2 linked regions of the Pelodiscus sinensis genome follow. Each later gene encodes a partner of the first gene's protein in a complex. Links are inferred from orthologs where the notes say so. Each region holds a gene or a part of one and is shown in the gene's direction. Other genes may lie near its edges.

Region 1 (16,174 bases):
TATGTCGTATTTCCTGTGCATTAACATTCCTTGGCAACATCTGCTAAAATAACTTGGGCATCTTCTGAGTAAAACTTCCTACAAATCAAGTTGGTGTAATTTTCTGTTGTTTCCTTCTCCCTTATTAGAGGGAACTCTCTATCTAGCCTTGCCATAAATTAGCAGAGTCCTTCTGTTTTAAGAGCTATCATCCTTTCCTGTGGAAGGAATTAAGGGATTTACAAAACAAGACAACTGTCCAGAACAGAGTATTCTGCTTTCAGTGGTACTGTAGGTGCTAATACTGGGTCAAAGCTTCCAGATCTAATTTCCTCATACACTGATTATTTTTCCTGGAGTCTTGTTTAATATTTTAACTGTACAAATACTTGTTTTTCTAAGCTGTAACAGTGTGTTTGCTTTTTCAGACCTGTTGCAATAATTTTGAAGAAATATTAATGGATTAGTAAATTTTTCTTAAATAAACTGTGTCTGCGTTGTACTTTGTTGTACTGACATGAATCAAGTAATAACTCCCTCAGTAAAACAGGTGGCTGCTCATCAAGATTCTAAAAGATGCATACCCTTACACAGCTACCTTATTAATCTAATGAATGTTATGCATTATGAGGGTGGACTTGCTACTTTCTGTTAAAGCATCAGATTTTTGTTTCTGTACAAATAAAATGTTATCAGCAATACTAGTGATCAGACCTTTACAGATGTGGTCGCCTCATCTCAAAGATATCTTGGCATTGGAAAAAGTTCAGAAAAGGGCAGCACATACTATTAGGGGTTTAAAACAGCTGCCACATGAGGGGAGATTAAAAAGCCTGGGACTTTTCAGCTTAGAAAAGATACTGGGGGGAGTTGATAGAGGTCTATAAAATCATGACTGATGTTGAGAGAGTAAATAAGGAAAAGTTATTTACTTGTTCCCATAAGAACTAGGGGTCATCAGATGAAATTCATAGGTATCAGGTTTAAAACAAAGTATTTCTTCATGAAATGCAGAGTCAACCTGTGAAATTCCTTGCCGGGGATGTTGTGAAGATCAGGACTTTAATGGGGTTCAAAAAAACTAGATAATGCTGTGGAGGATAGGTCCGTTAATGGCTATTAGCCAGGATGCAGAGAGAGTGTCCTTAGACTGTTAGAAGCTGGGAATGGGTAACAAGGAAGGAATCACTTGATAATTTCCTGTTCTGTTCATTGCCTCTGGGACAACTGGCATTGGCCACTATCAGAAGACCAGACACTGGGCTAGTTGGCCCTTTGGTCTGACCCAGTATGGCCATTCTTATGACCTCATGTTGAGCCCATGTAGGTTTCAATCAACATGTTTCTATGTCTGAGCTGACTGTAGCTCAGGCTGGGCACATCAATGTATTTTATATAAGACTGCTTACAACTGGATGATATTTACAAATTTTGGATGCAGTTCCAAGAGTTTGTGACGTTTGTTCCCTAAAAGTAGGAACAGCAAGGGAGTTCAGCAAATGTAAAAATTGTTCTGTATGTCTGAATAAATGATAGGTTGGATATTTTACAATCCAGAAATCATAAATAGGTTTCTCTCTGAATAGCGTTTAGCCATGTTAGTATGTAACTTAAAAGTCTGAATCTGAAGAAGTGGGGTGTGACCATGAAAGCTCATGATACCATCAACATTTTTGTTACTCTCTCAGGTGCTGCATGACCATTTCTTGGTTTTGTGTGAAGGTTTCTAGAAGATAGCAAAGCCCCTCCCTGTATGGAAGACAGTAAGGTCAAAAAACAGAATGTTTGCTATGATGACCTACCCACAGGCCCTATGGGGCGGGGGCGGGGGCGGGGGGGGGGGAGTGGCGGCAAGAGAGCCATTTGGCCTGGGCCTCAGGAGACAACTGAAATGTTGACATTTTTTATCAAGTTATTTCCATTTATTATACACCTTGAAGTTATAACAGACAACAAAAGAAGCGCTATATATATAAAAATAAACTGCAAAAAATTATTTAAATCATTGTGGGATCTTGGGTCTTCACCAATTTTTCAGTCACATCTGAGTTTTCATCTGCATGACTGGAGATGGGAGTAGCCTCTGAGATTAGTGGGTCTACATTATGAAATGCTGTTAATAGGCTTTACATAGTTTAGAGGTTTTGAAAGTTGTAATTAATTGTTCCTATGAAGTGATTTTTACTTGGTCTGAGAGTGAGTTTAACCTTTAAATTAGATGTTTATCTCTGTAGGAGATTTTTTTTGTATTCCTGTTTTTTCTTGTGTGTCTTTGTATACAATAACCACATCAGGTCAGCTGTAAGCTACCTCTTTGTCCAGTTTTAGATTAATCTTTAAAGGCTTTTTTTGGTATAATAAACTTTTAATTCTAGTTGTTTAATAAACTTTATACTTAGTCTGGCAATTGCCCCATGTTCATATTCATAATGCACCAGTTATTAGAGGAATTTAATAGTGGGAACATGTTAAAATTTCAAGACTTTGAAATAAGGCTATAGGGACTTGTGACGGGGTGCACTGGGCCTGATGCTCTCTGCTGGAGGCCTTGCCCCACCTTGCCCCATGGAGAAGAGCATAAGAGAGGTCCTCCAAGCAGGATAGACTAGCTGTTTCTGCTGCAGCCAATCAGGGCCCAGCAGGCTGATATAAAGAAGCTGCTGGGCCAGGGCCTGGCAGTTCCTCACTGGAGCTTGACCTAGCCAGGCTTAGGTTGGGAGGACAACAGCACCTCGGACAGCTCCAAGTGCAAGCTGAACTTTAAACCTGGCTCAGGCCCAGAGACAAGACTAGCCACAAATGGCTACCAAACTTTGAAGAACCAGGCACAGGCTGTGTGGAGAGCCTGGCCTCAAAGCCCAGAGAGAAAGAGCAGGACAGAGCAGCATCTTGGGGAAGACATACCCTAAATCTTGTCAGCACTGATTGCACTGAATCATGCAAGGAAGCAATCACATATTTTGGAACAATCCAGCAATTGTACAACTTCTTTAGTAGCAGTCCTTGAAAGTGGGAAATTCTGAAGCAGCATCTGCCTGTTTTGCTTCACGTCATTTTGACAACGAGATGATTAACACGAATTGATGGCATTAAGTCAGTTGCACAGCATTTGGACTCTGAGAAGCTTTAAGTGAGCTTGAATCTCTTAAACTCAGGGCAAGTCTGTGCTGTAAGTCAATTCAGAAGTATACATCCAAATCTGAATGCATTTTAATGTTGTCCATGTGGATGAAGCTGCTAAAAATGATCCATGAAACTAATCTTGAAATTGAAGCACACAATGCTACATTAGATGTTGAGAGGGATAACACTGAATGATTTCTTAAAGATACTCAAAAGATTCATGATCAAAGTGATGCAATCCTTTCTGAGTCCAAATCAGTAGCACAGGCTATTAACTTTTCATCTGAGTTTTCCACGAATTGCAGTCTAACATCTCAGTCTGATGCAGAAAGGCACTATTAAGCCAAATTTTTTTTGTTATTGAGTCCCATCAAATCTGGTCTTACATGTCGATTTGAGTCACTGCAACAAATTTGTACCCTTTTGGGATTCCTTTGGTAGTTCCAAGAATGAAGTGATGAAGATCTATATTCAGCAGTTGAACAGTTTCAACGAAGGTACAACAATGGAATTTCAAGAGATCTCTGTGATGACAGAGTCTTCCTGAAACATACATTCCACTAACTTTAAATCATATGCATTCCACCAACTGCAAGCCAAAATAGATGCTTCAAGAAATGTTCAATCTCAGCCTAATATCACAATTGCATTACATATTTTTATCAGTCTCCCTGCATCAGTGGCTTCAGGTGAATGCACATTCAACATGTTACACCAAGTAAAGAACTACCATCATTCTACAATGAGATGAGCATTTGAATTGGGCTCGCAGTGCTTAACATTAATAGTGATGTTGCACATACATTAGATTTTTCTTCAATTATAAACAAGTTTGCTCACAATAAAACCAAAAAAACATTCCTAAAATGAAGAGTTTTGTTTGCAGTGGAAACTCACAATTAGTTACATTTTTAATATACCAGAGGGGTAGCCATTTTTAATATACCAGGCGGTGATCTGGAAGCCTACTTTCACCGTCTCCGTCTCAAGGAATACTTCCAACACAACACTGAACAGTGCACTGACACACAGATACCTTCCCACCAACAGCACAAGAAGAAGAACTCCACATGGACTCCTGAGGGCCGAAATGACAGTCTGGACCTCTACATAAAATGCTTCCACCGACGTGCACAGACAGAAATTGTGGAAAAACAGCATCGCTTGTCTGGTAACCTCAGTCGTGCAGAACGCAATGCCATCCACAGCCTCCGGAACAACTCTGACATTAGAATCAAAGAGGCTGACAAAGGAGGTGCTGTTGTCATCATGAACAGGTCTGACTACCTAAAGGAGGCTGTCAGACAACTCTCCAATACCAAATTCTACAGGCCTCTTTCCTCAGATCCCACTAAGGAATACACTAAGAAACTGCACCATCTGCTCAGGACCCTCCCTACACAAACACAGGAACAAATCGACACACCCTTAGAGCCCCAACCAGGGTTGTTGTATCTATTACCCAAGATCCACAAACCTGGAAATCCCAGACGCCCCATCATCTCGGGCATTGGCACTGTCACTGAAGGACTGTCTGGCTATGTGGACTCTCTGCTCAGACCCTACGCCACCAGCACTCCCAGTTACCTCTGTGACACTACTGATTTCCTGAGGAAACTACAATGCATTGGTGATCTTCCAGAAAACACCATCCTAGCCACCATGGATGTAGCGGCTCTCTACACAAACATCCCACATGCAGATGGAGTACAAGCTGTCAGGAACAGTATCCCTGATGATGCCACAGCACAACTGGTGGCTGAACTCTGTGAATTTATCCTGACACACAACTATTTCAGATTTGGTGACAACATATACCTCCAGACCAGTGGCACTGCTATGGGCACCCGCATGGCCCCACAATATGCCAACATTTTTATGGCTGACCTGGAACAACGCTTCCTCAGCTCCCGTCCACTTACACCCCTTCTCTACCTATGCTACATCGATGACATCTTCATCATCTGGACCCAGGGGAAGGAGACTCTGGAAGAATTTCACCATGATGTCAACAGCTTCCACCCCACCATCAATCTCAGCATGGATCAATCTACACGGGAGGTCCATTTCCTGGACACCACGGTACAAATAAGTGACGGTCACATCAATACCACCCTATACCGAAAACCTACCGACCGCTACACTTACCTGCATGCCTCCAACTTCCATCCTGGACACACCACACGATCCATTGTTTACAGCCAAGCACTGAGGTACAACCGCATATGCTCCAAACCCTCAGACAGTGACCTACACCTACAAGATCTTCAACAAGCATTCTGTAAACTGCGATACCCACACGAGGAAGTGAGGAGACAGATTGACAGAGCCAGAAGTGTACCCAGAAGCCTCCTGCTACGGGACAAGCCCAAGAAAGAAACCAACAGAACACCACTGGCCATCACCTACAGTCCCCAGCTAAAACCTCTCCAACGCATCCTTAGTGATCTACAACCCATCCTGGACAATGATCCCTCGCTTTCACAGGCCTTGGGGGGTAGGCCGGTCCTTGCCCACAGACAAGCCGCCAACCTGAAGCATATTCTCACCAGCAACTACACACCGCACCATAATAACTCGAACTCAGGAACCAATCCTTGCAACAAACCTCGGTGCGAACTCTGCCCACATATATACACCAGCAACACCATCACAGGACCTAACCAGATCAGCCATACTGTCACTGGTACGTTCTCCTGCACATCTACCAACGTAATATATGCCATCATGTGCCAACAATGCCCCACTGCTATATACATCGGCCAGACTGGACAGTCCCTACGTAAAAGAATCAATGGACACAAATCAGATATTAGGAATGGCAACATACAAAAACCTGTAGGGGATCACTTCAATCTTCCTGGACACACAATTGCAGATCTAAAGGTAGCCATCCTGCAGCAAAAAAACTTCAGGACCAGACTTCAAAGAGAAACTGCTGAGCTACAGTTCATCTTCAAGTTTGACACAATCAGCTCTGGATTAAACAAAGACTGTTAATGGCTTGCTAACTACAAAAGCAGCTTCTCCTCTCTTGGAATTCACACCTTCAGATCAGCTGCTAGAAGTGGGCCTCATCCTCCCTGATTGGATCCACCTCCTCATCTCCAGCCTGATTCTGGCCTGCATATTTATACCTGCCTCTGGAAATTTCCACTACATGCATCTGACGAAGTGGGTCTTTGCTCACGAATGCTTATGCTCCAACACTTCAGTTAGTCTCTAAGGTGCCACAGGACTGCTCGCCATTTTTAATATACATGCTACTGGTATAAGGATTGAATTGTTAATAAATTAACGTTTCAGTTGTTTATTTTCATACATTCTTTTGGTTTTATGATGACCCTGTGAATGAGAGGTTAGACACAGGGGAGGGGCTGGGGCCTCTAAACTCAAAGTGGCCCAGGCCTCTTATTCTCTGAGAGCACCTGCCTGCCCAGAACCACCCTGGAGAGGCTTGAGCGTGAATGCAGCATGTCTGAGCGTTCAACTTGGGTGTCCTCGGGCTGCTCCTGGGGCCCCTGCGGAGAACCCGGAGCTTGTAGCCAACAAACCTGCAGCTGGCGGGATCAAAGTGGAGTGTTGGGGCATCTGTACAGAGGAGTCAGAAAACTTACCCCGTGTGATCGCTAGAGCCGCTGTCTGTCCTTGGCCCCGCTGGCCGTGTGTCTGTCCACCCAAGCCTGCAGCCGCCCGCCCCTCTGTCCTGCCGTGCCGCGCTGTCCGTGTGTGCCGGGATCTGGCTCTCCGCCCGCCCGCCCGTGTCTGTCTGTGTCCGCCTGTCCGCCCGTGTCTGTCTGTGTCCGTCTGTCCGCCCGCCCGCCCGTGTCTGTCTGTGTCCGTCTGTCCGCCCGCCCGCACGTGTCTGTCTGTGTCCGCCTGTCCGCCCGCCCGCACGTGTCTGTCTGTGTCCGTCTGTCCGCCCGCCCGCACGTGTCTGTCTGTGTCCGTCTGTCCGCCCGCCCGCACGTGTCTGTCTGTGTCCGTCTGTCCGCCCGTCCATCCATCTGTCCGCCCACCCCTGTGTCCGTCTGTCCGCCCGCCCCTGTGTCCGCCTGTCCGCCCGCCCGCACGTGTCTGTCTGTGTCCGTCTGTCCGCCCGTCCATCCATCTGTCCGCCCGCCCCTGTGTCCGTCTGTCCGCCCGCCCGCCCGCCCGCCCGTGTCTGTCCGTGTCCGTCTGTCCGTCCACACGCGCCTCCATCCCTCCGGCCGGCCCCGGGCGCTCTTGCCCGGCCTTGCGGGTCCCCGGGGGCCGCGGGGGGGCGGGGCGTGGCGGGGGAGGGGAGGAGTCTGGCCGGGCGACTCCACCCCTTTGAGCCGCTGCAGGAGGTGGGGTCATGAATATGCATGAGGAGGCGCCCGGCCGCCACGCGGAGCGTGCTGACGTCAGCGCCTCGGCGGGAGCGGCGCGCGGGCGGGATGGCGGCGGGGCCGGCGCTGCGCGAGCTGGACTCGGACGGGAGCAGCGAGGAGCTGGTGCTGACCCCCGCGCAGCTCCTCGGCGGCCTCGAGCAGGTGGGCGGGGCCAGCCGGCTGGGGGCGGGGCCAGCCGGCTGGGTCCTCTCCCGGCTGGGGGGAGGGGGGGGGCAGATTCCCGGCTCTTCTCCCGGCTGGGGGGGCAGATTCCCGGGTTCTCTCCCGGCTGGGGGGAGGAGGGGGGGGCAGATTCCCGGCTCCTCTCCCGGCTGGGGGGGCAGATTCCCGGGTTCTCTCCCGGCTGGGGGGACAGATTCCCGGGTTCTCTCCCGGCTGGGGGGGCAGATTCCCGGGTTCTCTCCCGGCTGGGGGGGCAGATTCCCGGGTTCTCTCCCGGCTGGGGGGGCAGATTCCCGGGTTCTCTCCCGGCTGGGGGGGCAGATTCCCGGGTTCTCTCCCGGCTGGGGGGACAGATTCCCGGGTTCTCTCCCGGCTGGGGGGGCAGATTCCCGGGTTCTCTCCCGGCTGGGGGGGCAGATTCCCGGGTTCTCTCCCGGCTGGGGGGGCAGATTCCCGGGTTCTCTCCCGGCTGGGGGGGCAGATTCCCGGGTTCTCTCCCGGCTGGGGGGAGGGGGGGCAGATTCCCGGCTCCTCTCCCAGCTGGGGGGGCAGATTCCCAGCTCCTCTCCCAGCTGGGGGGGCAGATTCCCGGGTTCTCTCCCGGCTGGGGGGAGGGGGGGCAGATTCCCGGCTCCTCTCCCAGCTGGGGGGGCAGATTCCCAGCTCCTCCCCCGGCTGGGGGGAGGGGGGGGCAGATTCCCGGCTCCTCCCCCGGCTGGGGGGAGGGGGGGCAGATTCCCGGGTTCTCTCCCGGCTGGGGGGAGGGGGGGGCAGATTCCCGGGTCCTCTCCCGGCTGGGGGGTGACGGGGGGGCAGGCGGGTGGTGGGTCAGGGCAGGGGGCTGGCTGTCAGGTCGGCTTGTGGCTCACCGCCCTGCTGTGCTCTCAGGCCTGGCTGAATGAGAAGTTTGCCCCGGAGCTACTGGAGAGCAAGTCTGAAATCGTGGAATGTGTCATGGAGCAGCTGGACCACATGGTGCGTGTCCAGGGGCACAGAGGGGGCCGTGGTTGGGAATGGCTGGGCGGAGTCGGGCCGGCTTTACCGAACTCCCCACTGCGGGCATGGCAGCATGTGGGGCTCTGTGCCGAAGCACCCGCCCGTGCTCCTCCAGCCATCCCTCTCCCCAGTACCCCCACACGACGGGGGTAGTTGCGAGCATCCCTGCGCTCTGCCCAAGTGCTGTTGGTTTGGCGTGGATGTGTTGCGAGCTCCCCATGCTCCTGGCACTTTGCTGTCAGTCACAGAGGCTAGTAGCTGTCCGCTCATCTGCCATTCTGTAAGCCCTGTAGCATGATGCCAGCCAGCGGGGGCTGCACCGCTTACCATCTCCTGGCTCTTTGTTCAACTGTGCGCTCCAGAGGGGCGTAAACCTCCTGCTTCAGACAGACTTGCAGGTGCCTGGATGACAAAATTGGCCATTACTTTCCAAAACCCACATATGCTGCAAAATCTGGCGTCAGGTTTTTGGATTCCCTTCCCCAGGTGGCAGAGAGAGATGGTAACCTGCGTGCATGGTGCCCGGGCTCTATCTGCAAGAGGCAGCTGCAATCTGGCTCTTCCCCCACAGCTCTGCAGACATTGGCCTCTCTGCCATTAACTGTTGAGCGTGTGTACAGTCTGACTTCCCCCAATGTGCCCCTTTGGCAGGAGTCAAATCTGAAACGAGCCAAGCACGGAGATCTGAAGGTCAGCATCCACCGCATGGAGATTGAGAGAATCCGCTATGTCCTCAGCAGTTACTTGCGCTGCAGGCTTGCAAAGGTAACACCTTGCTGTGCTATGTGTGGGACATGACTCCCGGGAGTGGCTGAAGGCATCGTATTCTGAAAGCAGATTGCTTTGGCGCAGGACTCTGAGTCACAGACCCTTGACATGTTTGGTTAGACTAGAGTGACCATAAGGTTCACCTGAGGAATTCATTCCTCATTGGTGCCAAGCACAGCACCTTGTTCTGGGGAGAGGGTATCTCAGAGACGGGGGGGGGGGGGGGGGGAGTGTCACAGTGCACATGCGGTGAGCATGTTCCTCGACCTAGGTAAGGTCAGGACAGGGTCCTGGAAATGCCATAGTTATCCTGCCTCTCCAGCACAGACAGCCCTGTACAGGTCAGGAGCTGCCTATAACAGGACTCTGTTTCAATCCCAGCTGACGCTTCTTTGGGGATTTTCTTCTCCTGGCAGATCGAGAAGTTTTTTCCCCATATCCTGGAGAAGGAGAAGTCCCGAGCAGAAGGAGAGCCTTCCATTCTCTCTCCAGAGGAGTTTGCCTTTGCTAAAGAGTGAGTGGATGTGGAAGGAGGGCTGGACAGTGGGGTGAGCAAAGTCTTGGTCTACTTTGCAGGCTAGGCCTGGAGACCTGGGATTGTATACATTCTGGATCTTCCTTTCTGCTGCACAGGCTGCATGTAGATCCTCCCTGTCCTCTACTGACCAGCTAACACCTTCCTTGTTCTCTGTTGGGCCTGCAGTGAAGCTGGCAGTTTGGCCCTGAGTGTTCCTGACACCCTGGGAAGGAGTTGAAAAAAGAGCCCCACTCAGCCTCCATCAATCTTGGTGTCTAACCAGCTGCCTCTTTCCCTGTGCAAGGCAGAGTGGTGAAAGGAGCCACTTCCTGCTGCAGAGCTTCCTCTCCTGGCTCCGGGCCACCCTCTGTTGGCAGTTTGTGGCCAAGCCATTGGCCCGGGCAGTCTCGCTTCAGCCACCTGCTAAGCTGTGCTAGAAAAGCTCCCTCTGCTGCCTGAGCTCCTGCCGGTTGGAAGAGACCTCACTGCCTTTTGTCATCTTCACCTGGAGATAGGCTGTACCCTGGGGCACCGAAGGATTTGCCCTGGAGCAGCAGGCTAAGAACTGCTGGGTCAGACCAAAGTGTCCTGTCTTCTGCCAGTGGCCAATGCCAGGTGCCCCAGAGGGAGTGAACCAAGCAGGGAATCATTCAGTGATCCCTCCTGTCGCCCATTCCCAACCCTGACAAACATGCCAGGGACACCATCTCTGCCCATCCTGGCTAATAGCCATTGATGGACCTATCCTCCATGATTGTATCTAATTCTTTTTTGAACCCTGTTACAGTCTTGGTCTTGACAGCATCCTCTGGCAAGGAGTTCCACAGGCTGTCTCTGCATTATGTGAAGAAAGACTTCCTTTTGGTCTTATGACGGCAGCTGGAGTCAGCTGTGACCCAGCAGGTTTTGCCAAGATCTCACTGACAGTAAGGTCTGTTTCAGGTACATGGCGAACACAGAAACCTACCTGAAAAACATGGCCCTGAAACACATGCCTCCCAACCTGCAGAAGGTTGATCTCCTGAGACTGGGTAAGAGAAACCTGGCTGCAGCACCAGGCATGAGGATTCTAGCACCAGCTCCCTGGGGGCTCACCCTGCATGAGCCTTGAAGTCCTCGACAGCTTGCAGCGAGTGCTTGAAAGACGCTGGTGTCTGAGCTTAGCCCTCTCCATGCTGCTGGTCCTTTAGAAGGTGGTGGGCTTATGTTCGCATGGTTCTTTCCTAGAATGCCCTATGGGTGACAAGGGGGCTCCCGAGGCTGCTCTCACTGGTCTGTGTTCTGGCTCTCCTTCCGTCTCAAGTGCGTGTTGGCTGGTGTGTTGGGGGTCAGCTGGTTGCCTGTGATGTCCACGCTGCTGGTGCTGCTGACCCACATTGCTCTGTGTCCCCAAGTATGAAGGGCTCGAAGAGGAGCAGACTGTTCACAGGAGTGGCTTGTGGTGCATGGTGCTCAGTCTTTTGTTCCAGCTGTCAGGGCTCTGAGTGCGTCACTTTCCTTGCAGTTCCCAAACCCAACCTGGATGCCTTCGTATTCCTGAGGGTGCAGGAGAGGCAAGAAAACATCTTGGTGGAGCCAGAGACAGATGAGCAGAGGTAGGTGGCCTGTTGCTTTGCTGTGCCCTGAGATGCACATGCCTTAGAAATGCCACCCTCCCTGTACACCGCGCAGCTTCCTGCTGGGAAGAGCGAAGGGGCGTCGTCAGCTGTGGGGAGAGCAGCACCCCTCCGACTGGCCAGATCCAGTCATGTGGCCATTGCAGGAGACTGCACCACCTCTCTCCTCCCTGGTGTGTTTCCATTCAGTGCTGTGCTTGGCTTGCTGCTGCCCTTCCCCCTCACCCTGTCTGTCTCTCTCTCTCTCTCTCTCTCCCCCCCCCCCCCCTTCAGGGAATATGTGATCGACCTGGAGGAGGGCTCGCAGCATCTGATCCGATACAAAACCATCGCCCCGCTGGTGGCCTCTGGAGCAGTTCAGCTCATTTAAAACGTCACAAGACTTAAAGGGGGCAGGGAAGGCCAGGGCCACCTGAGAGCACTGCCCTGCCGGTCGGCGTGTGGACGCACAACGGCTGTGGACAGTTACGAATGCCCATCCTGCCCCCCCGCCTGGGCCCAGCAGCTCCATGTTCCTGTGTGCATGTAGCCTGGGGATAGAAAGGCACAGAGCCAGAGAGAGGTGCCATCAGCGAGGGCCCCTGTCTGGGGCATGCGGATGCTGCTGCTGGAGGAAAGGCCGCTCTTCCGCCTCTACAAAGCTGCTGCTCTGGTGTGGAACCAGCAGGTGGCGCCGCCCCCATGCATACACTCTGGATATTGCGGCCAGGTGGCAGCCCACACACAGTCAGGCGAGATGAGTTGGCGCGAGGGCTAGTGTGAGCAGTTGCCTTACAAAGACAGCTGCCAAACTCTCCAAGTCTGCTTTCTAGGGCCACTGCCGCCGCCCACGACCCTGACCAGGCCTCCTGTGCAGCTCAGTTAGGAGAGACCCTTTCATGTTGTGTGGGGAGGGGATTAGACAAGGGATGGGGGCTTGTGTGGGTTTGCAGCAGGTGCCAGCTCCAAAGGACCTGGGTGGGGCTGAGCGTGTTTGGAACCTGGAGGAGCTCTTACTGGCAAGTAGAAGAATCCGCCCGACCGGGCTCAAATAAACCAGCCACGTATCTCTGGCTCTAGCTCGATGAGGAGGTGGTGTCTGCATCCCTGACAGCAAAGCTGTATTCCTGGGGCCCGTCAAACAATCCCCGCTCTTCCTGAGAGCTGGCAGCGAGGTCTGTGCATGAGACACTCAGCCTTTCCCCGGGGAGCGCTCTGGTACCTCTTGCGTATAGCGCACAGCCCGGGGCACCAGTGCTTACCATGTTCTGATGGAAGCGGGGTGCCTGTCGTGCTGTGGGAGCAGCAGCTCTGCTAAGGTGGTGTTTAAAATGCATCCTGGCTTGACTAAAGGTTTTTGGGCCAGGTGTGAGACCCCTTGTGACCTGCTGACCTCCACTTTAAGCACTTCTCAGCCCCCTCCCATATTGGAGTGATCCATTCACCCAAAAAGCACTGGCTGCGTCTAGACTGGCATGATTTTGCAGAAATACTTTTAACGGAAAAGTTTTTCTGTTAAAAGTATTTCCGCAAAAGCGTGTCTAGATTGGCAAGTGCCTTTGCGCAAAAGATTCGCTTTTGTGCAAAAGCATCTGCGGCCAGTCTAGACGCGATTTTGTGCAAGAAAGCCCCGATCGCCATTTTAGCCATCGGGGCTTTTTTGCGCAAAACAGTTCTTCCCTGTCTACACTGGCCCTCTTGCGTGAGTATTCTTGCGCAAGAGAGCTTTTTCCCGAGCAGGAGCGTGTAAGTATTTGTGGAAGTAGCACTGATTTTTGTACATTACAAAGTCAGTGTTCTTGCACAAATTCGAGTGGCCAGTGTAGACAGCTGGCAAGTTTTTGTGCAAAAGCAAATGCTTTTGTGCAAAATCTTGCCAGTCTAGGTGCACCCACTGTGTATTCATTCCCACTGCAGGTAGTGGAGAGGTGGGAGAGGCCCTGTTGGGGTGGGGAGCAATCGCTGAATGTTCCAAACATGCAAAGTGCCAGGTTACCTCTGCACAAATGGGGAAGGGCTGCTGAGGATGAAAGGAAACTGACTTAGCACCTCGTTCGGTGAATGGGGTGCTGTACTGGAGATTGCTCCCTGCAAGGCAGACAGCAGCCTGGGAAGTGGCCACAGTTACACCCCTATACTGTAGTGATGCCTGTGGCTACAGGCTTGTCTACATTTCACGTGCTGTGACAGACGAAGCATGGCCCTGTGGTAGTAGCTGAGCAGTGGGGTTTGGGCCAGAACCTCCATCACTTCTGCAGGTTTCAGGGTCTCTAAGAGCCTGGTCTAGGTGAGATTTATGGCCCAGCTCCCCGAGCCATCTCCCTCCATGGAGAGACCATGTGCTGCACCAGTGTTCGAAGAAATACCATTAACAGAGGACTTAGTGGCTGGAGTTTTGCCTCTTGGCATCCTGAATGACTTTGCTTTGGGGCCACTTGCAGCTGGTAGTGTCCAATAGGGGCAGGGTCCGGAACCTTCTCTTAGCTTCTGTCTGTACTGACTTGTTTCAGGGAGCGGAGCGGAGAGGAGAGGGAGGTGCCCAGCCACTCCCGCGGGTTCATAAGGGAGTTCCCGTGCAAGCAGATGATCTCCCTGCCACCCATTGTGTGCACAGAGAAGGCCTGGGTGATTGGCTGGTGGGCTCTGGTCAGGAGGGCTTTGGGGACACTTTCTAAGTAGCTTGAGGGAGTCCCTGTGGCCTCCTCTTAACGGGGCTTTTTCTGCCTGCAGTGGCTGGTGCTCTGGCTGCAGGGAGTGGTTTTCCCAAAGTAACTTGTCAATAGTTTCCTACCAGAGAATGAGACCGAAATTCCCTTCCCTGATTCTTTCTCCAGCCCTCCGCTTTTCCTGCTGCTTCCTGTCTCCACCAGGAGCTCACACAGCGCCTGGAGAACAATCTGTATGTCTGAGGGGGTCTGTCCAAGAACTGAGCGCTAAGAGCCAGGACCACCACATTGGGATGCAGCTTCCTCTTATTTAAAAAGCAAGGGTTTGGCTGTGCCAGGAAAACGGGCTGTGCCTGGAATAGGATTGGTTTTTGAGAAGCAGACGGAATCAGCAGGCAGGTGCAAGGGGCTTTCAGGGGAACACCTCCCACCCGCTAGGTGGCCTGTAGGGAGTGGGGGGGCTGAAGCTCCCTCCCCCCGATTTGTACAGGAACATTGCTGGCTGCTCCCTTCATCAGGGAGTGGGGAAAGTGCACAGGTGCTGCATTCCTCACTCTGGCTGGGGAGTGCAGGGGCAGACAAACCTGAACCTACCCTAGCCGGGAAACAAGCGTTCTGTCCCCTGGCTGCCCACTTCTCGCCTGGCCCCCAGCTGCTGGGGCTGTCCTTTCTCCCTCAGCCAGCCTGCAACTGAGCCCCTCGTCCGACACACGCAGACCAGTGCTTGACATGGAGCAGGGACACTTGAATTTTATTTTCCAAAACTCCACTGAGTTAAGGACCTGAGCGGTGTGGGGCAATAACGAACCGCCAGTGTGGATTTGCCAAGAGCAAATTGGGTCAAATCAACCTTATTTCCTCCCATCAGGATCACCTGAGGCACCAGGATCTACCCCTAGAGCCCGTCGTCTGGTGGGTGGCCACTGCTCTAGGCCATGCCCTCCCCTGCATGTGCTCTCTGGGGGTGGGCGGGAGCAGCTCAGCTCCCCCCGGTAGCAGGAGGCATGAGGGCAACATGTGCAGGACAGCACAGGGTAGCGGCTCTGCATGTGCATCCCTAATGAATCTCCGTTACATAAATGGATTCATTAGGCACAAAGGTGAAGAAGAATCTGGGATTAATCCCAAACAAATGGCCCCAAAGGCAGATTGCTGCAGCTCCCCCACTGGGGGTCTGTCCCCAGGAACAGCCCTCTGACAACCCTCCCACAGGCTCTGCCGCTCCCCCGGTGGGGGTCTGTCCCCACGAACAGCCCTCTGACAACCCTCCCACAGGCTCTGCAGCTCCCAGACAAATAGCTGTTGAGTTTCCACTGGACAATCAGAAGGTGGGGGAAGAGACGTGCTGGAGTTTCTCTTGAGCACAGCGGTGGGTTGCCTGTGGTCCACTGAGGTTGTGCGTGTGGCCTGCAAGAAATCGTTACCATTGTCCATGCACAAGACTGCCAGGTTCTGCTGGATTCTGTCCATGTTGTTTCCTGGTATTGCTAAAGTGAGACACCCGGAAAGCAAGGTAGCACGTTTTCAGTGGATCTCTTCCCCTTGCGGGTTCGATCAAGCAGCTGTCTGGGCAGTTCTTCCCCTAGAGCTGACAAGTCTCAGCGGGTTGCGGCAGGGACTGAGCAGGGGACGTCACTCCTGTTCCTGGGCAGAAGAGAGACGCTGGCTCTTTCCGCCGGTGCCACTTCTCGGCTCTTTCTGCCAATGGAAATGCAGCTCACTCTGTGCCAGACACACCCTCCCTCCCTTGCACACGAAAGCTCTGGCATCCCACTGGGCAGCGCTGCCCCAGCTGCAGCCAGAGAATGCTGAGAGGTTGAAGCAGGGAGGCACCTGCTGGGATTTTCCAAAAGGGCCTAAGCACCTGTCCTGCCTAAGTCCCTTGAGAGCTGTGAGGCAGGTGCCTGATGGACTTAGGCACATGCCTGATGGACTTAGGCACATCTGAAATCCCCTCAGCTGCCAGTTTGTAACTAAGTGGGTAACTAACTT
Region 2 (16,110 bases), on another chromosome or scaffold:
AATATTTCCATGTATCTTCTCCCTCCCTTACCACTCTTTTCCATACTAATGCACACACCCAGATTTCCCTCTGATCTGAAGGCTGAACAATGGGGCTCAACTTCCTATGGAATTGCCCTGGGAAAGCATTTCACCCACTTTATACTATTAAACAAGCAAGGTGTTTACAAGATACCCTTAGGCAGTCTCCTTTCTGGAGAAGGAAAGACACAAAGGATCAGTGGTTGGATACGTCCTCTAGTTCCCAAAATGTTTTGTGCTGTAAGAAGGGGCTCATGGAGGAGAGAAGACCACATTTCCAAGTAATGAGGGAACTGTATGTTTTTTGCTGTCAAGGTGTTTGAGGAGCTGCAGAAACTGGTATCCCAGCCACATGAGAACGGTCACCCTGCTGCACAACAGAAGCCAGAGCTCCGCACAAGAGGCACCAGCAGAACACATGAGCATGGTAAGAACCTTCCTAAAGCCAGTTTTCAGAGTTTTGTCCTTCTCCCTCCCTGCCCTCTCCCTTGCTGAGTGGTGAGGAGGCTGCTCCGGCTCTCCTGGGGCTTCTCTATTTACACTCCCCTAGTGTTGGCTAGTGTGGCAGCTATGTGTGTGAGGAAACTACTACCGAGAGCCATAAAAGGAGGCCAAAACATGTCGGGGCTTGTGAGCTCTGCAGAAATAATAAAAATGTACCATTGTTATTCAGTGCTTTTCACCAGTAGATCTCAAGGTGCTTTACAAAGGAGGGCGGTATCAATATCTTCATTTTGCAGATGGGAAAATTGACAGTTAAGAAGGTTAACAATTAATGGGCCCGAGTCTCCTCTCCTCACTGGTTTTACAATGATATAACTCCATGGCTTCACTGGAGAGACACCTGTGTAAGCAACAGGAGAATTAGGCCCAACTGAGTGCATCCAGGACTAAAGGCTGATGGTTTGGCCCCAGTGCAGCACAGTAATGATCAGTGCCACAGTCCTGACTGAGGAAGCTCTTGCATTATAAGCCTGTTGACATGAAGACCTAGCCAAAGATCCGTCTTGTGGATTGAAACGTTTCGTGCTTGTGGTCAGTGAATATTTCTGGAAAGCAAGAGAAAATTCTTTCTTCTCCTGAGTGTTGGGCAAATGCTTTTATGTGGTGTCTGCTGCATTTCCTTGCTATGAAATATAGCACAGTCAGAACTACTCATTCCTGGGCTTGAGATCTTGTGGCTGCAGTATCCCGGGGCAGCTATTTTTCAAATGCTCAGCATTCTAGTCTAACTTTAGAACGACATGGCTCCATCTACTGACAAAATGCTGCCATTGTAGGAATGACACGGGAAGGTTCAAAGGTATTGCAAACCATGCCGTTATTGCAGGGTCAGAGTAATTATTCCATAGCAAAGGTTGCTTCCAGATTTCTACTGGAGAAAGTGACTTATCTGAGAATGTGTAGTTAAGATAAAGTTCTCCTTGGAACCTAAGATTTTGAAACAAGCAAGCAGCACTTTCATAGGTATTCAGTTGGGTTAGCTTCATTTCAGCATGAGAAATGTTATTCTCAACTTCACCCTTGTAGGTCTCTACACGTTCAAGCATGGGATAATTTTCACAGAAATGGCATGAGAAATTTTAATGCATCTTCCCACCCTAAAGTTTTTTTTTTAATGTTTCAAATGGTTACCTGCACTCTGCAACTGCTAGAAGTTGCTGAAGGAGCTTATTGGGGACTATTGAATGAGTGTGTGAGGTTCAGAGAGGCCAGGGATACAATGAGATATCCAGGAAGATACAATGAGATATCCAGGAAGAGAGGGAGACGCCCATTATTCTTGTGCACGCTCTTTTGGCAGCTGGCAGCGCTGCTAAGATCTGATAAAGGAGCCCTGCTTCAGCAGACTTTATATACTGCTCTCACACAGATCTAAGAAGGAATAGAGTGGACTGTGGCAAGGTATAGTGGGAGCGAGGACTGATTTCTGAGGCAGAACTCATATTGGGACATGAAGTAGGGCTGGAGCCAGGGAATGAAGGCTAGCTGGGGGAAACAAGGCTGGAGACTATCTAAAAGGTTTGGCTTTGTTCTGGAAGCAAGGCCAGGGAGGAGATGAAATAATATTTTAATGTTTCCCAGGAAAATCTTTTCACATCTCTTCAAGAAAGCTTTAACCAACCCTTAGGCTTTCTCCACACAGTGCATTAAGCTGTTCCTATGAAACAGCAGGAGCCTGGCGTTGTACCAAATTTGAGACTTTACAAAAAGCAAAAGGAACCAAAATGCATTAAGTTACAGCAATGGCAAGCTACCCTCCACATCTAGCATGGAGAAAAAAGATTATAAAGTACACCTGCAGGGCAGTGAGGGTTATTATACCACACACCTGGGAGGGACGTGAGATTTTAAACCACAAACCCAGCCTTCTGAACTAGCTGAAGGCCCTTGACCACTGACCTTGTGTCTCACTAGCCACCCACTTGGGGTGTACATTTGGTGTAACCATCCACCATTATCCTGTGCTATTGCTCACTTTGGCTTCAGTTCATGTGCCAGGGGCAGTGCACCTTTGGAAATGGATATAAAACTAACCTAGAAGCAAACCCTTCCTAGCCTGATTCCTGCTCTTACATATTTGATTTCTGTTGATTTTTAGGGCCAGTTCCTGTGAAAGAAGGTGAAAAAACATCACTGACGCACACTGGTATGCTGCCTAGCACTCCACTGGTACGGTGGATTCTTGCCTTCAGCTTCCTCGTGACAACGGTTGCTGTGGGCTTGTTTGCCATGTGAAGAGAAAGGACTTTAGGCTTTGCCCTCCTGCCTCTCCTCCTCAACCTAACACACCTTCCCCGTGTGATATGAGCAATACCACCCAACCAGCCCTCTTCCTGGACATTCTGATCTTGGCTGCGCCACTAACACTTTGCTAGTGGATTAAGAGGACTCCGAAGGCTCATGCAAATTCTCTCCAACCTGTGCTGAAAGCATTTCTGAACCCACAGACTGAACTTTGCCAAAAAGCTGAGGCAAAAAAAAAAAAAATCCTGAAAGGCAAGGCTGGCCCCTGGCCTTGCTTCAGACAGTTCCTGCAAAGAGCCCCAGATATAAAATATAGGTTTGGTAGCTTCCCTGCTGCCTGGGGGAAAAAGCCTTACTGGTGCTTTGTTCTGTCAGTGTTTTGTGCAGCTGCCTGGTACTGCAAAGATTTCTTCTGTGGAGTTCTCAGGCTCCCCTCGGATTACAGACTTTTTTATATGACACTATTAGCCCCTTATAGCCTATTTTTCCAATCATGACTCAGGTCAATTTTGTTTTTAGATAGCAGAATGCAGTTGTTGAACAGTGTTGTCCTTGTGTCCTGTCTGTACAATTTATACATTAACAATAAACTTCAATGTAAGGTGACTCTGCTGTGTTTCCTGGGATTAGTGCCTGTCTGATGTGGGGGAGGAAGCCTTTTGCTGATTCTCTTATGCTTTGGGAGGGGCTTGCTGCATGCTCATAAAATTGACATGAGGCACAGAATGGAGGGTAAGCAGATCTGGGCTCTGTTCCCAGCTCTGATGCCAATTCTTTGTGTGACTGCAGGTTAAGAGACTTTCTATGGTAACTACACTTCCCCATCTGCATAACACACTCTGAGATCTAAGGATGAAAAGCTCTAAGTAAGAGCAGGGTACTGGTAATTATAAAATGTCTCTGACATTAAAGGAAACAGCTGGTGAGTCAAAACCTCTCCACATTTCCTGGGCCTGAGCCTCAGCTGGTGTGAAATGATGCCACTTGGTTGACTTCAGTGTAGCTGTGCTGACCTACACCACTCATGAGGGCCTGGCCCATCACAAATCCATTCATACTACCTGGTTGAGAATTTCACTGTGGTTTCAGGAAAAAGAGGTATATTTAAAAACCAAGAAGTTAGTCCTGGTGATAACAACAGACTGACTTTTAATTATACAGAGTAGACCAAGCCTGGGCAAAATACAGCTCAGTCTGGATCTGGCCCACCAAGCCACCAGATCTGGCCCTCTGAGGCAGTGGGGAGCCCCAGGCAAGCTCCCCTGCTTTCCCTGCACTGCGCAGAAATGTGGCTGCCAGGCTTCCTTTCTGTTTCAAAACCTGAAGGGAAGGAGGAAGCTTCAGGAGCCACCCCACTCCCAGCACAATCCCAATAGCTAGTTTGGGCTAATAGCTGGTGAGAAACCGGCCAATGGCAGCTGCTTGTTTGAATAACAAGCAGCCAAGAACCATGCCCCCTCCACTCGTCTCAGTTATTCACTGAAGCACATGGCCAGGCAGGATGGCTGGCTGCGAAACGTTTTAGCTCTGTAAGCCTTAGCTAGGCAGGCTGGGTTGGCTGCTGGATGGTAAGTCTCCTGGCCACAGCCTGCCTCTGGCACTCCAGCACCTCCCTGCCCCCTCCCCCCCACATACCCAAACCCTCTGTCCTCCTCTTGCAGCCATACCCACTCCCAGATCTAGCACTCCAATCACCTGCTCTAGATCACAACCCCTTTTACCCATGTCATATCCCAAACTCCTGTATCTCAGTTCCCTACCCTAGATCACAACTGCCTCCTTCACCCAAACTCCTTCCTAGACTCCATTTTCCCTCCTGCACCCCAGTTCCTTACCCCAAGCTCCCCTCTGCACCCATCTTCCATCCCAGACCCCACATCTGCTCCACTAATATCATCAAAGAGTACGGCCCTCAACCGCTTTCCAAAATCTTGGAGTGGCCTCCTGTCAAAAATTATTGCCCAACCCTAGAGCAGACCAAAAAAAGAGTAACAATTATGCAAAGAGTTCTCTATCCACCTCCCCTTTCACTGGATGGAATTTGGATGCCTGGCTAGCAGCTATTGTAGTTGCAGGTTGTAGTTGTCTAATATAATCAAGTTGACTAAAGTTCTGAGAGATATTAGAGAAAATAAACTCTTTGGCTACGTCTAGACTGGCATGATTTTCCGGAAATGCTTTTAACGGAAAAGTTTTCCGTTAAAAGCATTTTCGGAAAAGAGCGTCTAGATTGGCGCGGAGTTCGCGTTATAACGATGCGCTTTAGCGGAAAAGCGTTCATGCCAATCTAGACGCGCTTTTCCGCAAAAAAGCCCCGATCGCCTTTTTCGCGATCGGGGCTTTTTTGCAGAAAACAAATCTCAGCTGTCTACATTGGTGCTTTTGTGCAAAAGTTTTGCGCAAAAGGACTTTTGCCAGAACGGGAGCAGCATAGTATTTCCGTAAGAACGCGGACAATCTTACATGAGATTGTCAGTACTTTTGCGGAAATTCAAGCGGCCAGTGTAGACAGCTGGCAAGTTTTTCCGGAAAAGTGGCTGATTTTCCGGAAAACTGGCCAGTCTAGACACAGCCTTTATGTACCTTGGATGTTGATCTTCAGGGCATATTATGAAGTCAATCTCTACAGCCTGAGTTCTGAGGGAAGAGAGTCACAATAATGAGGACTGATGTTTGGGTATTGGTTGGATTTGATTTATTGCAGCTGGTTATTTTTTTGTCTTGGTGGCATGGAGTGGAGGTGGTCTTTTTGTATGACTATTTCTGGGTTTTCTTATTTTATTTTTTGGCAAAGAGGTAGGGCTCTGGATGGGCACTTTTAAAATATGTTCTAATTTGAAATACATAGAAGTTCATAGAAATACTTAATTATTTATGCAGTGTGTATGTGTGGGAGGATATTATGAGAGCTCTTCTTTCTTTTAAAAAGTGAACTAAGTTCTGGTAAAAGGCCCTATTCCAATAGTTAGATCTGGTAAAAGCTACATTTGATAAAAGGCCTCGGTTTGACAGCCTCACTGTAAATCAACAGAAGAGATTACAGCAAAGACTGAGGATCTACCTTATATTTACCTTATAGTTACAAACAAAACCTACTGCACTGGAAAGAGTACTAGGACAGTCAATACAGACAATGACTAAATAGTACAGCAAGTGCCTAACAACAAAGCAAATACAATTCGGCTACGTCTACACTGGCATGATTTTCCAAAAATACTTTTAACGGAAAAGTTTGCCGTTAAAAGCATTTTCGGAAAAGCACGTCTAGATTGGCAGGATGCTTTTCCGCAAAAGCACTTTTTGCGGAAAAGCGTCCGTGACCAATCTAGACGCGGTTTTCTGCAAAAAAAGCCCCGATCACCATTTTCGCGATCGGGGCTTTTTTGCAGAAAACAGTACTGTGTTGTCTACACTGGCCCATTTGCACAAAAGTCTTTCGGAAAAAGACTTTTGCCCGAATGGGAGCAGCATAGTATTTCCGGAAAAGCACTGATGATCTTACATGAGATCGTCAGTGCTTTTCTGGAAATTCAAGCGGCCAGTGTAGACACCTGGCAAGTTTTTCCACAAAAGCAGATGATTTTGCAGAAAAACTTGCCAGTCTAGACACAGCCTTCATGTGTATTAAAAAAAATCCACAGGAAAGCTAACTGAAGCTGGTCTTCTCCCCTCAATCTATTATTCAAGTTAGAAGAATTCATGCACACTGTACTGTTTAGCAAATGGTCTGGTAGCACTTTATAGACTAACAAAACATGTAGATGGTATCATGAGCTTGCGTCATGTTTTCTTAGTGTATAAAGTGCTACCAGACCATTTGCTTGCTGGTTTTTTTTCCCCCGTAACAGACTAACTCAACAGACTAACTCAGACACCCCCTGAAGTTCCTGTACTATTTAGGGTTGCCAATTTTCCCTGAATGTATTCCTGGACGTTTCATCACATATGATCCTTAATTAAAGATTAATCTTTAATTCCTGGAGACTCCTTAGTCTGGCAATCCTAGTACTATTCTCTACACCAGAGGTGAAAGTAAGCTGGCGCACCCTGGTGTGCAGCTCTGGCAAGAGCTGGCAAAAGCCAGCAGGGAGCTATTTCAAGAGCAGGCAGGAACCCAGGTTGCAATAGGACAGTACCTGTAATACACTTTTAATTACTTTCACCGCTGCTTTACCTGAGTGTTTGTAAACTTGTAATATAACCACATGCTTTTCCACACCAGTCTTCCTGGAAGTACAGGTTGGACCTCCCTGGTCTGGCACCCTCGAGACCTCACCCATCTGGGACAAGGGAGTTTTGCTGGACACCAGGGAGGACGGTGCAAGGCTCCCTACTGGGCTTCTCTCCCCAGTCTCCCACCCTACAAGCTGCAGCAGCCTTACCACCCCGCGGAGCTCCCGGCAGCCCGGCTAGCTGCGGGCTCTGCCGCCCCATGAGCTCCAGCCCTCCCCCAACCTGCCCGCTGAGGACGCTGCTGCTCCATGCTCGGGATCCACTGCCCTGCGGGCCCTGCCACGCGGCTCCACGCCCAGCTGCTGGCAGCCTCTGCCGCCGGGGCGCGCTACTCGCTCCCGCAGCACGGCTGCTGCTGGAGCAGAGTCCCAGCCGCCCGGGTGCAAGCGGGACCTCCGCTCCCTGCAGCTCCGCAAGGGAGTCAGCTGCCCGGGGCCCAGCAGAGCGCGCCAGGGGGAGGTGACGCTGCTCCGGGGCCGGGACTCGCTTTTCCTTTTGGAACTGCCCGCAGGACAGAAGCACGTCGCGGGCCCGGGCCGGGCTACAGGCGCGCGGGGGGGGCCGGGATGCACCGGAGGAGGGTTCTCGAGGGGGCTGCTGCGGGGACCAGGCACGTGGGGCGGCTCGTTGGTGCGTCCAGCCAGGGGCGGCGGCAGCTCTAGACCCAGCAGCGCTGCCAGCCTGGGCCGCTCGGGCGCTGGCGGAGCCGCCCCAGAGCGCTGGGAACCGGGGTGGGGGGGCGCGGCCGCCATTTTATCCCCCTCCCATTTGTCACGTCCCTCGGGTCGGGTTTTCGCGCCAAACAGCGCTTGGCCACACTGGGAGGCGGGGAGCGGGGCGGGGCTTCGGCGCCTCCTCCAATCCTCTTCCGTCTCCATGGCGACTCGCCGCCCGCTTCCCGTTCCGACAGGCCAGGAGGGAAGGTCGCGGAGCCAATCCCCGGCGTCAGGTTTCAGGCTGGCCAATAGGGAGGCGCGCTTCCGATGACTTCAGTACGTTTGTAGTCTCTTTCTTCCCCCTCCCCCCCCCCCCCCCCCCCCCGCGGCCAAGTTTTGCCGCGAAAACCGGCTGGTCCGCGAGTGCCTGGCGCGGGGCCGATTCGAGGGGAGCGGGAGCGGCGGGTCGCCTCGGGGCTTGTGGCCAAGGCGGGTCGGATGGGGGGGTCGTAGCCAGGGGGTCGGGTCGGGGCTGGGGGGGCCGGATGGGGGGGTCGCCCCGCCCGGGCTGTTGGGTGGGACCCCCTGAGGGTCGGGGGGCTCGGTTGTCGGTTGCCGTTGGGGCTGAAGGGGGTCGGATGGGGGGTCCCCCCGGGCTGAGGAGCGGCTGGGGCTGTTGCAGGGCGCGTGGGAGGGGAGCGCTCTCTGGGGAGCTGGACTGATCGTTTCCCTCTTTCTGCAGGTTGCCCAGGGCGGCGGAGCCAATTTTCACCATGTCCGGCTTTGACGATCCCGGCATTTACTACAGCGACAGCTTTGGGGGTGACCCGGCGGCAGATGAGGGCCAGGTCCGGAAATCCCAGCTGCAGAGGCGGTTCAAGGAGTTCCTGAGGCAGTACCGGGTGGGCACAGACCGGTCTGGCTTCACCTTCAAATACAGGTGCTGCTGAGGCAGAGAAGGAGCCCTTCTCACCAACTCTGTGTTTAGCCATCTACTTTCTCCTTTCCTTTTGAAGGAACAGCTGTTTGCTTTCCTTGTAGCTGTGCACAGGCTCTCACAGAGCACTTTCAACTACGGATGCCAAACAACTTTTCACAGGATGGTCAGTGTCATCATCACTGTTTGGTCTGTTGGGGAAACTGAGTCCTTGAGTGGCGCAGTGATTTCCCCAGGATCACAGATCAGGGAATGAAAACTGGTTGTCTGACTCCCTGTCCTGTGCCCCATTCACAGTACTAAGCTGTCTTCCATGGGCCCACACTGCAAAGTGTGGCTCTAGCCCTGAATTTCAAGTTCCGAGTTTGATGTTTCAGAATGTTTAGATCCAGGGTTTGGTTTGAGTTTCTCTTTAAGGTAAGGATGTAACAGTTTTTCATCCAATGTCTTCTGAAATCTGTGAAGATCCTTCTGTGGACTAAATATTTTTCTACTTCCTGTGTATATTTTTGAACTGTAAGGTTTGTGATTCTTTTCTTTTATAAAACATTGAATAAGTACTTAATTATCTGCAGAATGCATGGAAATAAAAATGAGTGCAGATCACCCAGAGACTGAGAAATAGCCAACCTTTCATCTTTTATTTCCCTGAATTCTGATTTTTAAAGTGAATGTTAATAACTGCTATTATATCATGCATTTTTAAAATTCAAACTTTGGGTGTGATAGACCTGATTACTTATGCTTAGAAGTATGTAAACTGTCTTTGTAACTCTGATAGCACAATGACACTAAGCATATTCGGACTAGAACTGGGCAGTTTTAGAAAGCGGATTTGGATGCCCTGTGAAAAATCTGTCCAGCAGCCTCCTTACAAAACTTATCTACTCTGCTTCCAACTTAATCAAGTCACTTCAAACAATTTATAGGATCCCCTTTATGCTGATTCACTGCCCTGGTCCTGCTGATTTACTTGCATTTGTTAAGAATTGCACTGTGCTTTCTGCTCTTCAAGTCTGAACTCCTTGTTGCCTCACAGGGATGAGCTCAAACGGCATTACAACCTTGGCCAGTACTGGCTTGAGGTGGAGATGGAGGACCTGGCCAGCTTTGATGAGGACCTGGCAGATTACCTGTATAAGCAGCCTGCAGAGCACCTGCAGTTGGTAAGAATGGGGAATACCATGGGAAGAAGGACATGGAGAACTACTGTAAGAGTAGCCTTAGAACTGGCAAGTTGCCAGCTAATCATGGGCAGTCAGCTGACACCAGTAGCCCCGATAATTCTTTGTGAGAGTGATAACCTGAGCTGTGATGTTCCCTCTCTCTCCCCAGCTAGAGGAAGCGGCAAAGGAAGTGGCAGATGAGGTCACCCGTCCTCGCCCAGCAGGAGAGGAGACACTTCAAGATGTCCAAGTCATGTTGAGATCAGATGCCAATCCGGCCAATATCCGTAGTCTGAAGGTGAGCTGAATCCACCCATGCTATGGAGCAGTGGGGGCAGTAGTTGTCCTCTGGTGAATTTGATTGTGGTGAGAGCTGTTAGAACAGTGGCGGCCAACTGCAGCCTGAGGGCCACACACGGTCCATCAGGGTTCTTTGTGTGGCCCACAAAACATTTTTACTGTTGCCTACAGTTTTGCTGGTTTCTCTTTGCTTAGGGTTTTTTTCCTACCAGAATTACTGAAATGACATGCATTTAAAGCAAGGGCATGTGAAGTGAGGTGAGTGCTGATATCACACAACATTGACTGTGAGAGTTGTGTGCTCTCTCTGCATCCATTCAAAGCATTGCTGTGGTTCAGTTGGCACATTCTGCAAATTCTAGGTACGCAAGCACCTTAGCAAAACTACCCTATCCTAGAAGACCATCTTGGTAACAAAAATCTTGCAGTCTACTGATATGAAGAGTCTCTCATTCAGCCCATGTACTAGCCTAGGTTGCCCGATGACTTACTCAAGGCTCAGATCAAGGAGTGAGTTGGATAAATGGTTTGGGGGTTGATCCATCTCTGCTCTGCTTACTGTGATGAAACTGCACCAGACAGCACGTATTCAACTCACTACATTTGATGGGATTTGCTAACTTTAGGGCTGTGCTACACACTTGAACATTGTGCCATTTGAACATTGGTTTGAGTCACATAGCTAAAGCCTCCTAGTGTAGCTACGTTAATAAAGGTGCTTGGACTGCTATAGCTTAGAATCATAGAACCTTAGAGCTGGAAGAGACCTCAGAAGGTCATCAAGTCCAGCCCCCTGCTCTAGGCATGACAATGTTTATTCCCATAAGTTTAGCACCTTTGTGCAGGTATATTCATATCTCTGTAATGACTTCAGTAAAATATTCTGCCTATCTGAAATAGCTAAATTGATTCCAGAACTGTGTACATCAGATCTTAATGGCTCTGTTGACAATTTTGGGGATGTCAGTGGATGGGTATTCTCATCTGTCCATTAGATGGTGAGAATTATTTTTGTGTCTCTGAGGGTTTTACTGAGGAACACTGTATTCTTCATCACAAACTTCTCTGATCAGTGCAAAATGCATCAAGAGACGTATCTATAGAATAATGAAGCATCTTGTTTAAAAAAAAAGCCACAGTCCCTTCCCTTTGGTGTGAGGCTATTCAGTGCCTTGTCTGCATGAGTCTGCTTCCCTGAGATGCACGCCATGGCTTGGAGCCTTAATGTGTTTCGGCAGAAGGGCTTGGAGAGGTAACAGACCTTTGAGCCAAGATACAGCAGAGCACCATTATTAAGGTGACACTCATAGCACGTTCTAAACTCAGCTGGCAGGCTATTGTATGGATCCAAACTACTGAGCAAAAATATGCTGCAGGAAGGTGTGTTTAGAGGGATGTACATGTTAATTCCAAACACTTCTTCTTGGTTCCCTCTGTGGGCAACACAGGGAAAGCTGCCCACAAAGCATCATAACCATGATCCTGGCAACTCTGTGCATAAAGGCTGCTGTGCTTTCCTTTCCCGCTGCCATGATGAGGTTTCCCTTCTCCATGTGTAAGATGTTTCCTTACCTTTCCCAACCTCTTCTCTCTCAGTCTGAACAGATGTCCCATCTGGTGAAGATCCCCGGGATCGTAATTGCTGCAACTGCTGTGAGAGCCAAAGCCACCAAGATTGCCATCCAGTGCCGCAGCTGCCGTAACACCATCAACAACATCGCCGTGCGCCCCGGCCTGGAGGGTTATGCACTGCCCAGGAAGTGTAATACGTAAGCAATGAGAATCCTTTCAGGAGTCGTGGCTAGGGTGGGGAGACTAAGTTAGGTCTCACTGGGTGTCCTGTGCCGGGATCTAGAGGACAGTCATCCAGCCCTCTGCAGGATGGAGAGTCCTCTGTGCTCATGAATTAGTCTGTGATGACTTTTAATTTATCTGTGAATTGAAGGCCTTGCCCAGGTCCACATTGGTGGTGGGCAAGGGTGGTTAAGGCCAAATGTTAATGACCAGAATAGTGTAACTGAAGCACAGTCTCCTCCCTGCACCCTGGAACTTAAAGGGCACAGTCACACTCATGCATCTCAAAATGCCCTCCCTACCATCACAGAAATCCTTAAGCACTGCTGAGTCACTGAGTGCCACTGGGGTGCTCTGCGTGGCCCGAGCCTTAAAAATAGATGATCCTTCCTTCTGGGAGCATCCAGTTGAAGAAGACTGCTTTTTACTAATACTTTCAATTGTTCAGTCCCCAGACAACACTTACTCTCTGTGCGTGTAAAAATCAAATACATTCCTGGTCATCTGATCCATTTAATTTATTACCCTTCTCTGTCCCCCAATGAGTGCATTGCTCCTCCCAGTGAGCCATGTCACGATACACTTTCTCACACTGAGGCTGTGTCTTCGCTGCTGTTTGTTTGACAGAAGTTCTGTCAGTCCAGAGGGTGAATAAACCACCCCACTGAGTGAAACAAGTTACACTGATATAAATGCGAGTGTGGCGAGTGTTATGTCACAGGAGAGCTGCTCCTGCCATCATGGCTTCTGCCGCTCGCAGAGGTGGTTTTACTTTGCCTATGGGAGAGCTCTCTCCTGTCAGGCATAGAGCGTCTTTATCAGATGCAATGCAGCACTATACATGTAGGCAGGCTCTGAGTAATACCTTCCTCCACAGTCGCCCCAGTAAAGTCAGTAGGGCTAGTGTATTGGTGCATTCAGCATAAATAAGGGGGTCGTGAAAATGGCTCTAAGCACATAGGGTGGGCTCCCTAAAGCTGCCATTCCGAGGGATTTGGATGCCCAGTTTCCATTAGAAATGCACAGGAGCAGAAATGTGCCAGTCTCTTACGTGTCTTTGGAAATCTGAGCTTTGGTTGAAAATGACTTCCGGTCTGTAGTCTCCCAAGGGACACTGGCTAATAAATCTGCATCAGGATGCTTTCCCTGCTATTCAGCCTACACTTTTCCTTTTTTAGTTTTCCACTAACCCTAACTAAACCTCTGTATTCATATGTAAATAGGTTTTCTCTTCCTTTGTATTATAGCCTCTTAGACTTTTGTCCCCACTTAGGCTTAGTTTGGTACATAACTATTTAAATGTCTAAAATCTTTCCCCATCGGTCAATCCCTTTTCCCTTAACCTATTTTATTTCTTTACTCTGAGCTTTCCAGTTTGTGTCCCTTTGTCTAACTCTTTGGAATGGGGAATGACTCTTAATGTGCATCTAAACAGCACCCAGCTGCTTTAATTTCCATTGGGCCCTGTAGCATTACTCTTCTACAAATAGCCTCCTCCAGTTTCTCACAGTCTAGGACAGGGGTTGGCAACCTGTGGCTCACTTAAGAGCCAAATATGGCTCGCAGCTTGAGCTCAGCCCCCGTCCTCCTCTCACAACAGAGAGTCCACAATGACGATCGAGCATTGCGCCCCCCACGCAAGATCGGAGCCAGTGCCAGCTTCTTGCATGCCAGATCCAGCTTGCAGGGAAGCATGTGCACGCTTCCTTATACACCCTACCTTCCCCTGTGCTCTGGGGAGGCAGGACACAGGAGCTGTGTGGCCTTCCCTGCCTGATGAGCACCAGAGAGTGCACCCAGCTGTGCCGATATGGGGGTGATGCACATTGAGCTTGCAGGTGCTGGGAGTGGGGGGAGGTTAAAATGGCAGCAGAGGTTCTAGATATTGGAGATGAGGAGTGGCTGGATTTCTTGAAGGAGTGGCACGTACGCTTCTTCCAGCACTGCCTGCAGACCCTGCCCAAGAGATACTCGTCCCTGAAGACCAGCAGGTACCAGCCAAGCTGCTCCTGCCTCCTCCGTGGCTAGACACCCACCCACACCCTGCTCCTGCCTCCCCTCCCCTCTGGCCAGACACTTACACCCAGCTTGCTCCTGCACCCTACCTCCCACCCAGATTCTGCACCCTCATCCATATCCCACTCAGTGACAGCTCTGTCCCACACACTGGACTCCTCATTTTTGGCCCCACACCAGAGCCTAGGGGGGGCCACAAAATCCACTAACCCTAGAACGCCGGAAGAGTTAATCTGGCATGAGACCTTGAACCTCAGTCCTCCCTGCACATCCTACCCCCACCCCACCATGGGGCTGGAGTACTAGGGAAATGAGGTGTTTCAGTTGGGGGTCACATTCAGTGAGGGTTGGGGTTTTTTGGAAGGGTTATTTTTTTTGCTTCTCACTTGTGTGGCCCCTGCTGATTTTTCTGAGAGACAGTGGCCCCGACCCAAAAAAAGTTTCCCATCCCTGCCATAAAAAAAAGACAACGGTGAAACCTTTTGTGTTGAACATAATATTTTACTTCAATTAAAAATGAAGCCTGTTCAGTAAGCCCGCAAAGGGGGCCCAGCCCCAGTCTGGCCACAAGGTCATAACACTCCTGCACCCCTCTTGCAAACACCAGTCCTCAGCCCATCATATGCCTGAACCCTCTGCCCTGAACCCCGTACCCCCACATCCCCATTCCCCTACCATAACTCTCCTGCACCACCCACACATTCCAAACTTGTGCGCTGAGCCCATCATACACCTAAGCCCCCTTCCCTAAGCCCCTCATACATCTCAACCCAAACTCCCAAATCCCCAGCCTCTGCCATAAGATTTACAGAAGATAGCCCGAATGTGTTCATGAAGCTGGATTTGACCATTATGAACTTCAAATAAATGTGCAAAAGATGCAGCAGCAGAAGTCCCATTATAAAAAGTCCTTGAGTACAATGTTTCATTTATGCTATTATTAATCATTATGTCAGTTATCAATAACCTTAAGTTGTATATTTTTAGACATGCAAATGGGCATTCTTATATGGCTCTTTGTTAACCACTTGTTCTGATTTTTTATGTAGTTTGGCTCTTGGGTTTGAAAAGGTTGCCGGCCTCTGGTCAAGAATGAGGTGGCTTTTCACTTGCCAAATCTGCCCATTTTTGGAGTTTCAAGGGAAACTTCTGGGAGGAGGAAGCAGGGAATCCCAGCGTGCCTTGCTGCCTGCTTCACTTATGGATCGTTAGGCAATGCTAAATAAAAGCAAAACTCAGCCTTGTCAGTTTACAGGGCATTATTCTCTGTAGCATCACTGGATGCAAATAGATCTTCCTGGTGGTCTCTCCTGAGTTCAGATGTCACTGACTAGTTTTGTATAACCTGTTTCTTTTAACATTCCTCCTTTGCTCAGGGAACAGGCCGGCCGCCCAAAGTGTCCCCTGGATCCGTACTTCATCATGCCGGACAAGTGCAAGTGCGTGGACTTCCAGACCCTGAAGCTCCAGGAGTCTCCGGATGCCGTACCACATGGGGAGATGCCCCGGCACATGCAGCTGTACTGCGACAGGTAATGCCAGTAAGATAATCCCTTGTAGCCTGTTCTGAGAGCTGTTTCAAGGAGAATCAGTGGCAGACCCAGCCATTTGCTGGGTTTGGATGTATGTGGGGGGCTCTCATCTTCCTAGCTTTTTGCAGGGCAGGGAGGATTGGGTTTGGTGAGGAATGGTTATAAACAAGATTTTGGAAACTTACTTGGTCCATACTTACATGCCTACCTCACAATTCTGTGAGGCTTATTGGTTTGCTAAGTGCTTTGATATCCTTGGATCACGTGTGCAAAGTTGAAAGGAGAGCCAAACTGGAGCAGAAGAGGTTTTTCTTTTCTTGTTGAGCTTGAAGTGAAAATAGTGAATTTTGGTTTGAGGTTCTTTAGCTTGAGTGCCAGCTTCTTCGGTTCTCCAGGGGCCAGGAATCTATACACGTTGTCTAAGTTCAGATGGGAAGTAAAGGAAGAGAAGAAGCAGGGTTTCCATCTCTGATAGTCTTCCATCATATTCCTTTCTTATACAGAAATAACATTCCCCTTCCTCTTTTCAGATATCTATGTGACAAAGTCGTCCCTGGAAACAGAGTTACCATCATGGGCATCTATTCCATCAAGAAATCTGCCCAGACCAAAAGCAAAGGCCGGGATAACGTAGGAGTGGGGATCCGAAGTTCTTATATCCGTGTGGTGGGGATACAGGTGGACACGGATGGCTCAGGTAAAATTTT

The links.
Region 2: GINS4 (region 1) and MCM5 share a complex: the UniProt entries of both Homo sapiens proteins name them as parts of the CMG helicase complex. The link is inferred for Pelodiscus sinensis from reciprocal best matches to the Homo sapiens genes GINS4 and MCM5.

The regions. Positions count from the first base shown.
Region 1 is NC_134738.1:16,500,101-16,516,274, forward strand, and holds GINS4 (DNA replication complex GINS protein SLD5), read left to right. Parts: upstream 1-7,486; 5' UTR 7,487-7,523; coding exon 7,524-7,619; intron 7,620-8,528; coding exon 8,529-8,615; intron 8,616-9,287; coding exon 9,288-9,401; intron 9,402-9,820; coding exon 9,821-9,918; intron 9,919-10,863; coding exon 10,864-10,952; intron 10,953-11,425; coding exon 11,426-11,516; intron 11,517-11,810; coding exon 11,811-11,907; 3' UTR 11,908-12,601; downstream 12,602-16,174. UniProt on the Homo sapiens protein: Required for correct functioning of the GINS complex, a complex that plays an essential role in the initiation of DNA replication, and progression of DNA replication forks.
Region 2 is NC_134711.1:94,038,291-94,054,400, reverse strand, and holds the start of MCM5 (DNA replication licensing factor MCM5), read left to right. Parts: upstream 1-7,445; 5' UTR 7,446-7,461; intron 7,462-7,912; 5' UTR 7,913-7,994; intron 7,995-8,039; exon of another isoform or gene 8,040-8,151; intron 8,152-8,400; 5' UTR 8,401-8,431; coding exon 8,432-8,598; intron 8,599-9,634; coding exon 9,635-9,761; intron 9,762-9,930; coding exon 9,931-10,059; intron 10,060-11,657; coding exon 11,658-11,830; intron 11,831-15,247; coding exon 15,248-15,403; intron 15,404-15,933; coding exon 15,934-16,100; intron 16,101-16,110. Other genes in the region: HMOX1 (heme oxygenase 1), read left to right, coding at 337-448, 2,624-2,760. UniProt on the Homo sapiens protein: Acts as a component of the MCM2-7 complex (MCM complex) which is the replicative helicase essential for 'once per cell cycle' DNA replication initiation and elongation in eukaryotic cells.